Nothobranchius furzeri: one gene and its partner. The protein of the gene in region 1 purifies or fractionates together with the protein of each later gene. This does not show direct contact. Links are inferred from orthologs where the notes say so. Each region holds a gene or a part of one and is shown on either strand. Other genes may lie near its edges.

The links.
Region 2: the proteins of bach2b (region 1) and mafk purify together in Homo sapiens (co-immunoprecipitation; 3 studies listed by BioGRID and IntAct, with this or other methods). This does not show direct contact. The link is inferred for Nothobranchius furzeri from reciprocal best matches to the Homo sapiens genes BACH2 and MAFK.

Annotation. Positions count from the first base shown.
Region 1 is NC_091743.1:91,361,424-91,365,343, reverse strand, and holds the start of bach2b (transcription regulator protein BACH2), read right to left. Parts: upstream 2,348-3,920; 5' UTR 2,128-2,347; intron 1-2,127. UniProt on the Homo sapiens protein: Transcriptional regulator that acts as a repressor or activator. Binds to Maf recognition elements (MARE). Plays an important role in coordinating transcription activation and repression by MAFK.
Region 2 is NC_091745.1:5,294,243-5,298,162, forward strand, and holds part of mafk (transcription factor MafK), read left to right. Parts: intron 1-1,625; exon of another isoform or gene 1,626-1,702; intron 1,703-3,180; coding exon 3,181-3,259; intron 3,260-3,333; coding exon 3,334-3,771; 3' UTR 3,772-3,920. UniProt on the Homo sapiens protein: Since they lack a putative transactivation domain, the small Mafs behave as transcriptional repressors when they dimerize among themselves.

The DNA of each region.
Region 1 (3,920 bases):
CTGGTCAGTCTTTCATCCATAAGCACTGATCCTCTATTAATGAATGATTAGTGATTCTGTCTCACTCGTGTGCGTTTGTAGGAAACTCCGCCTGTCGGCCGTAGGACTGATGACTTCCACTCATCTCCCCTCTGACCCAGCGTCCACACACATCCGTTACATGTTGGCTCTCACCTCCATCATCACACAAAACACCACAGAAACATAAAAATCCATAGGTGTGAAGGGAATGTTCAGAAAGATTCTTCTCATTTTCCCCCGTTTGGTGCTGAAGCTCCAGCTCCTGCAGCCACGGAGGCAGAAGAACCAATCAGAAACCGTGATGCAACACCTCTGCAACACGCTCCTTTGTGTCCGACTAAAGTCTGATGCACCTTGTTTGATTCTACAATAACCTTTTAGAGGATGTTTCATGAACAGGTCATTTGCAGATTTTCTTTTCCATTCACAGGATTTTACCTATGACCTTTAACCCCAGAGGTCACAGTGGACAGCTATTCAGAACTTAGAAAATGCAAGGATGTAATAACCTACGTAGCAGTGGTGCATGGTGCTTTTATCTCCATCCTAGAGCCCAATAGGACCAGAACCTCGTGACTACAGCGGGCCACCAAAGCTTCTGATAATAATAATAATAATAATAATAATAATAATAATAATAATAATAATAATAATAATAATAATTGTTGTTATCAGAACAACGATCCAGGCCATGCTCCCGTGGAGCTGCGGGTTAAAGCCTGAGTCACTGCGGCTCCATCCGACCCCTCCCCCAAAACCCTGATTCCTCACAATAAACAGGAGAGATGCTCGGAACGGGAGCGCGTGCAGAACAAAGGGCTCCGTGGGTGACACTGCGCATGTCTGCAGCCTCCACGCACGTGCTGTGAAGCCGTGCGGAGTCAGTGAAGATGTGATGTTTACGTCAGCTATCTTTTTAAACAACAACGATTAGAAACGTCCTCATCAGGCTCCGGGGGGAGGACCGGGACCGCGGGGGTGGGGGGTGCGGGCCCCCTTACCCCCCCCCCCCCCCTTCCGTTGCATCAGCATTGTGGGAGACAAAGGATGCTGCGGGATGCTGAGGGTGTCACCGCTCCTCAGACTGCTGCCTCACTGCAGCATCACTCCTCTTCATCATCTCAGATGAGAGGAAGATCAGATAGCAGAATGCTGCCTTCACGTCATTAGCATGGCATCTCTCACGCGCGAGCGTGCACGCAGCTCCTCATTCTGTGATGTAGTGAACAAAGACGGCAGCAGCTACAATTAGTCTGAGCGGAGGGAACATCATTCATCCTGAATAAATCAAAATCTGCACTGCCACACACACACACGCACACACACACACACACACACACACACACACACACACACACGCACACGCACACGCACACGCACACACACACACACACACACACACACACACACACACACACACACACACCGTCCACCTTGGGGTGGGGGTGGGGGTGACTAAGCCTCACTGCAGCATCACTCACATGACGCCGCTGTTTGACTCGCAGCTGATTTACACCGACGCTCACGTACGGATCTGTGACGGAACCGACCTGGACCATCGGAACCAACCCAGCTTACGCAGCAAATATGGAGCCGTGTGTGTGTGTGTGTGTGTGTGTGTGTGTGTGTGCTCCCACCCAGAGTAGAACATGAAGCCAAAACAAAGAGGAGAATGGTGCAGTCTGAACAAAACAGACTGTGGTTAATGCCTGAGTGATGCGTTTAAAGACCGAGTGATGCGTTTAAAGACCGCGCTGTTCGGGATTCCTGCAGCACCGAAACCTGAACAAACTGAGGAAAAGGCAGCGCGCGCCGCGTTGACTCAAAGCACAACAGGATGTGGTGGAGTTGTGTTTCACTCCTGAACCCGCGTTCACACCCCTACACACCCACGCGCGCGCGCACACACACTCAGTAATATAGTAATATTCGCACCAAGCGTGCGGTTTCTCACTCGTGCTTCTCTCTCTATCTGACTCCTTCCAGAACCAGCGGGGACCTGGTGGTTCGGTCCAGCCGCGGTTCTGCTCCAGTTTGACAGTAAAACTGGGACACGGCGGACCCAGGCGGGTCCCGGTGTGGGCAGTGGCCGCGCAGGCTGCTTACCTTCTGCTTTCTGGTTCGTGTGTTCCAGCCCGTCGGTCCAACAGAACTTCTTTCACATGATGACCCGCTCCGCCGTCTCCTCGGAGCCTCTCGGCGCATACAGACCAATCACGTCCCGGATTATTCTTCTCGCTTTTAACGGTATAAAAATACAAAACAGCGTGTGTCATGAACGTGCGCGAGCGCGCGCGTGTGGATGTGTGTGAGTGTGCGCCGTGCTCCCGCGCGGCGTGCCGCTCCGTCTCCGTTGTTTGTTACACTCGACTGGAACGCCTACTCTCAGTCGCTACATTGTTGACATTCGGCCGCTGACGTCACCTCATTCCCTCATTCACAACATCGTAGGCGCGCGCTGCCTTGCGTTACAGTAGGGGGGAGGCGCGCGTGTGCGCCGCGGAATTGGCGCAGCGGAGCTTCGAGAATGGGACCGCAGACCCGTTAGCTCAAATCCCTCCCCCCTCCCCACAGATCCTCCCGGTGCTCCTCCCCGGTGCTCGCGGCGGGACCGCGATGACACGAGGCACTTTTCACAACCTGAGAGGAGAAGTGGAGACGAGGCGAGAATGAGCTTCATTTTTCTGAATCAGAGCTCAACGATGAAAACTAGTACTACTATAGTACTACTAGCAGCACCAAGGAGAATTATACTAGTACTAGCACCATTGCACTTGCACATTCCTGTTTTTGGCATGCACGGTATTCAGGAAAACTGGGTTTTAATTTACGATCTTCTGGATTTTGATTAATATAAGAAATGTCTGCACTTGATTTTTCTTTTATTTATTTTTCTAATTTTTTATTCTCCCTGTGTTTTATTTATTTTTGCTGTTTGTTTTGGGAATTTTGTTGTATTTCCTTTTTATCTTTTATCTGTGTTCGACATGTTTGTATAAACTTTTTTTTTACCTGTTTAATTAACTAACATTTTTAGTGTACAGCGCCTTGTTTGGTTGTAATGCCTTGTGAATGCGCTCTATAAATAACATTGGATTGGATTGGAAAGTACAAAATGTTCAAAAACGTAGTTTTTTTAAAAATAAAATGTTCATCAAACTAAATTTCTGCCTCAAAACATTGGCAGTAAAAACAATAACATTTATTATTATCATTATTATTGTTGTTGTTAATATTATTAGTATTAAAGAAAGAAAGAAAACAATATTTTCTGTTGTGCCTCTCAAGATAAAAATCAGGAGGTGCTTCACAAAAACAAAACAAATTAAAGTATAAAAAAGATTTCAATAAATGTTTAAAAATATGTTTAAAATGAGAAAAAAATAAAAATTGTGATTTAAAAATGTAGGAAAGGAAGGGAGAAAATAAATAAATAGGAAAGAGGGAAACCAGTGGAATGAGGAGAGAGAGGTGATGAAGGTCACACCAAAGCCTGAACAAGTGAGTCTTCAGCTGCTTTTTAAAGGAGACCACTGAGTCCTCTGATCTCAGGCTCAGGGGGAGAGAGGTCCAGAGTCTGGGGGGCCATGATGATATTATTATTATCATCATTGTTGTTGTTGTTGGGTTCAGGCAATCATACATATAGATATAAAAGTTGGTATCCTTCCAAATAATAAAGTAAACCCCACAAACTAGTCGCTTAGGAAGGAAGGTTATATGTAACATGCTTCATATCCAGCTGGCTGCTGGACTGTCGGTTTTTCTCCTAAAACAAAGGAAGGAGGGACGTAACTACTGTTTACCATCAGTGAGGGTGGGGGTGTCCTGTCTCCTGACAGCTAACACTGCAGCACCCACTATTGTAATTTGACGACGGGCGGCCAAAAGCTCCGGAG
Region 2 (3,920 bases), on another chromosome or scaffold:
CCAAGGCCTTACAGCATATTTCTTTCCTCCATGAGCTCCACAGGGAGTACACCGAGGGACCCCCTCTGACGCAACTCAAACTTAGCCTGTTGCAGTCAAAAAATGTTTAATATTACCCCTTCATCTTTCTTTAAAGCTTCTGACATCTAAATTACGCCGTTATTTCCAGCAAGGACGCTGGAGAACTTGCCAGATGTTCCTTTCCTAAACAGTCATTTTCTCTGTTTTGAACTTTCTGGGTGTTTGGCAAGTTAACTTCCCATTCAAGCCTTTTTAAGAGCAGTTTCTCCCATTTGAGGGGTTGTTTTTCAATTTCATTGCACGGTGGCCGTCGTAAAAAGTGACGGCTAAATTTTAAAATCATGATTGCCGTCCCAAATTGGACTGTCACTCCTAGCGTCTTCCATGAAGCCAGCAGCTCACAACGCTGATGTATCACTTATCGCATACGCACCTAAACTGTTCAGTTGGCAGAAATTTGTGTCAGCAGTGGGAGCTAAATATATCCGGCGGAGTTAAATAAGGGCATCGAGCAGCTCAGGAAAGCCCAGCGTAAGAGGATCCAGCCAGAGAGAGACGGCCTTAAATCGATAGACTACATTGTCTAACAGTAAAAATACATCAGTGACTATAAAGGAAACTATTTCCCTGTGACACTGCACAGCCTGGAATTTTCCACCCGCGAGTTCAACGTAACTGTAAATGTTATTCTGATGTGTGATGAGGAAGTAGAGCAGTGAGACATCAACTTAGAGGATCAAACCCTCCACAGAGATACAAGCAGGCTCCAATTCATAGATTAAATCAGCAAAAGCTTTAAAGACATAAGGTTCCTGGTATAGTTGTTTTTGGTACTATTTATGGGCTGTGCTGTGGTTATGAATGAGACATGTTTACCCTTTTAGTGACCATGTGACTCATGCTCCCACGCCCATCTGCAGGGTGTTGCCATGGTAGCTGTGGCGCATGGAACAGTGCACTCTGAGTTGAGCCGGTCTGCAGGTTCTGAAATGGAGCCTTAGGGGATGTTTGGATCACAGCTTAGCCTGTTTTATTTATTTATTGAGCCCCAGCAGCAGCAAGTGAAGTGTGTTCCCCCATGGGGATGTACGATGATGAGCACAGAACGGCCTAACACCAACTCGTTAAAGCACAAAGTAAACGGGGAGAAAGGTTACTCCTTTCTGCTTGTATGTGACCACTGTTCTGTTAGGGTTTTATTGTGTCCTACTGCCATCTTCTGGCACCTGTGGCACAAAGCAAGCCAAAATACTGATATCATGTGCATGACGTAAGCCTTGGACAGAGGAACGTCAGTGTCAGTGCTGTTTTTGCTGATCTGTTTTAGATGTGATAGGAGACCAGAGGTTCCATCACTGAAAAGGAATGCGATTATTGGTATTATGTTATGTAGGATTGCGTCAAAGATAAATTGTTTGTTTTTTGGTTCTTTGATTGTGTCGGGGCATTCCTGGAAGCCGGAGGGATTGGCCATCCTTCCTATTAGGAATGGAGTAAGAATGTCAGTTATATTTAATTACTGTGTTTGCTTAAATTATGAGTTAATCCTTAAGATATGATTTGAAAGTATACACTCACCTCTTCCTGGTTTGTCTCCTTAACAGGGCAGGGCAGCAAAGAGAGATGCAAACCCAAAGTGCTGCTGAAAAGCTCTTGGAGCCTACCATTTAGAGAAGGAGGGGTGAGGCTTAGAGAAGTTATGTTAAATTAAGTTTGCTTGGTTGATTGACTTTAGATTTGTTTAAGTTTAATGAATTGTATTTATGTAAAGATTTACTGGTACCATTTTAATGTATTTGGTGTTAGGTGTATGTAAATATTGTTTGGTTTTTGTTTTCTGATTACCCTTTTCTTGGTCTCTTCCAGTAATCACAGATGTTATAAAGGCAGCAAGCTGTTGTAGAGAGGGAGATTGGTTGTTTCTGGGTTCAGGTGACATGGTGTTTCAATAAAGCCATCTCAACCTTACTCATTGTTTCTCTCTGAACTGGAGCCTCCACCGGTCAAAGACTGACATGGAAGAAGCAATTATGAATACCAGTACAATAAAACGGATTAGTACTGACATTTAGCCATTTTTTAAAGAGCAAGTTCACTGAGAAACACTATTTTTTTAAAATCTTTTTATCTATTTTGAAAATGATCGGTCACTCTGAGTTGAAAATGCAGGCTGAACATGAAAATAGTCTTCTACCCCCATGTCCTGTATTAGCTTCTGATAGGAAACAGAGAAAAATGCTAATGCTGTCATTTAACATTCATGGACTCATCTTGACTCACAACGGGGAGTGCTGTTGTTGGATTAGCGTCCAGGAAACAGCAGAGAATGTTTTGTCTAATAGAAGCTAACCGTTAGCATTAGCAACCACCACACGGCAGAACTCCTTCAGGCCTGTGTTGTTTGATTGCATATCAGTGTTGCAGAGCAAATGGAGTCAGTGGTGGACTTAAGTTGCCGTTGGCCAATCAGAGATTAGATGTCCGAATATCAGGAATTAAGACTCCAAATCCTGCCGTCTGAAGCAACTTTCTCCTCTGGCAGACTTCTAGGGCTGGGTGAATGACTTATTGTGTTGTGAAGAACCATGTGGGGTTGTAGAACCTTAGAAGGTGCTTTACAAATATAGGCCATTTACCATTTCTAAAGAATGACACCTCTGAGCATCGTCATTTTGAAAGAAAAAACGGAACCCTAACAAACTCAATCAGTCATGATCTAAAACCCTGTTAAAATTGTTATATTTACTCAGTTACATTCACATGAAACAAGCTGTGCAAGCAACTCAGGGTCTTTTGAGTCACAGCAGCCTGAGACCTGCTGCAAAAATATTCACAAAACAGCTAAAGATGTCTGACGGACACATGTGGGTCGGAGCTCAGAATAATGAATCTTTGATTTACCTTTGTCCAATTCCATTTTAATCTGCTGAAGAAGGTGTTTTAAGACTGTAATTCTAAAAGTTTCCATCTGGATCTAAACATACTGAAATGAACTGTCTGCAAGGTGGTTTATATTTTTCCTACAAGACATCTCTCTATGTTCAGTGACATAAAAACATCAGCAAACCTATGGAGCTGAGATCTAGTAACCGTAGCAACATCTGAGCCAGTGTTTCATCACATGTAACGTGGTACTTAGTTTTTCTCTCCTATCCTCAGAGCAGCTTCTGGGAGATTCTGGTCAGTTTTCTGCATGCAGGGAATGACGACTCCTTTTAAGCCGAGCAAAGCTTTAAAGGTAAGCGTGTGAAGTTTCAGAGATATCTTCTAGTCGTTTGCACATGAAGCTCATCCACTCCTCACATCTTGCAGGTCAAGAAGGAGGTGGGTGAGAATGCCCCGGCGCTCAGCGACGACGAGCTGGTGGCCATGTCTGTGCGGGAGCTCAACCAGCACCTCCGCGGGCTCACTAAGGAGGATGTTGTACGGTTGAAGCAGCGTCGAAGGACCCTAAAGAACCGCGGCTACGCTGCTAGCTGTCGCATCAAACGTGTCACCCAGAAAGAGGAGCTCGAGAGACAAAAGATAGAGCTGCAGCAGGAGGTGGACAAGCTGGCTCGGGAGAACGCCAGCATGAGGCTGGAGCTGGACGCACTGCGGGCCAAGTATGAGGCCTTGCAGTGCTTCGCCAGGACTGTGACCCGAGGGCCGATGTCACCGGGCAAGGTGGCCACCACCAGCGTCATCACCATCGTCAAGTCCTCCAACCACAACAACTCCAGCCCAACTCCATTCTCAGCTCAGTCCTAGTGCTCATCAGGACTGGGCGCCTGTGTATCCCGCCTGGTCCTGACCCGGCCTGAACCCACTCATCCCGTACTGAGAGGACGCTCAGTAGTGTTCGGACTGAGGGATGGGATGGCAAGCTCTATGTGATCTTATGCCGCATTCACAGTTCT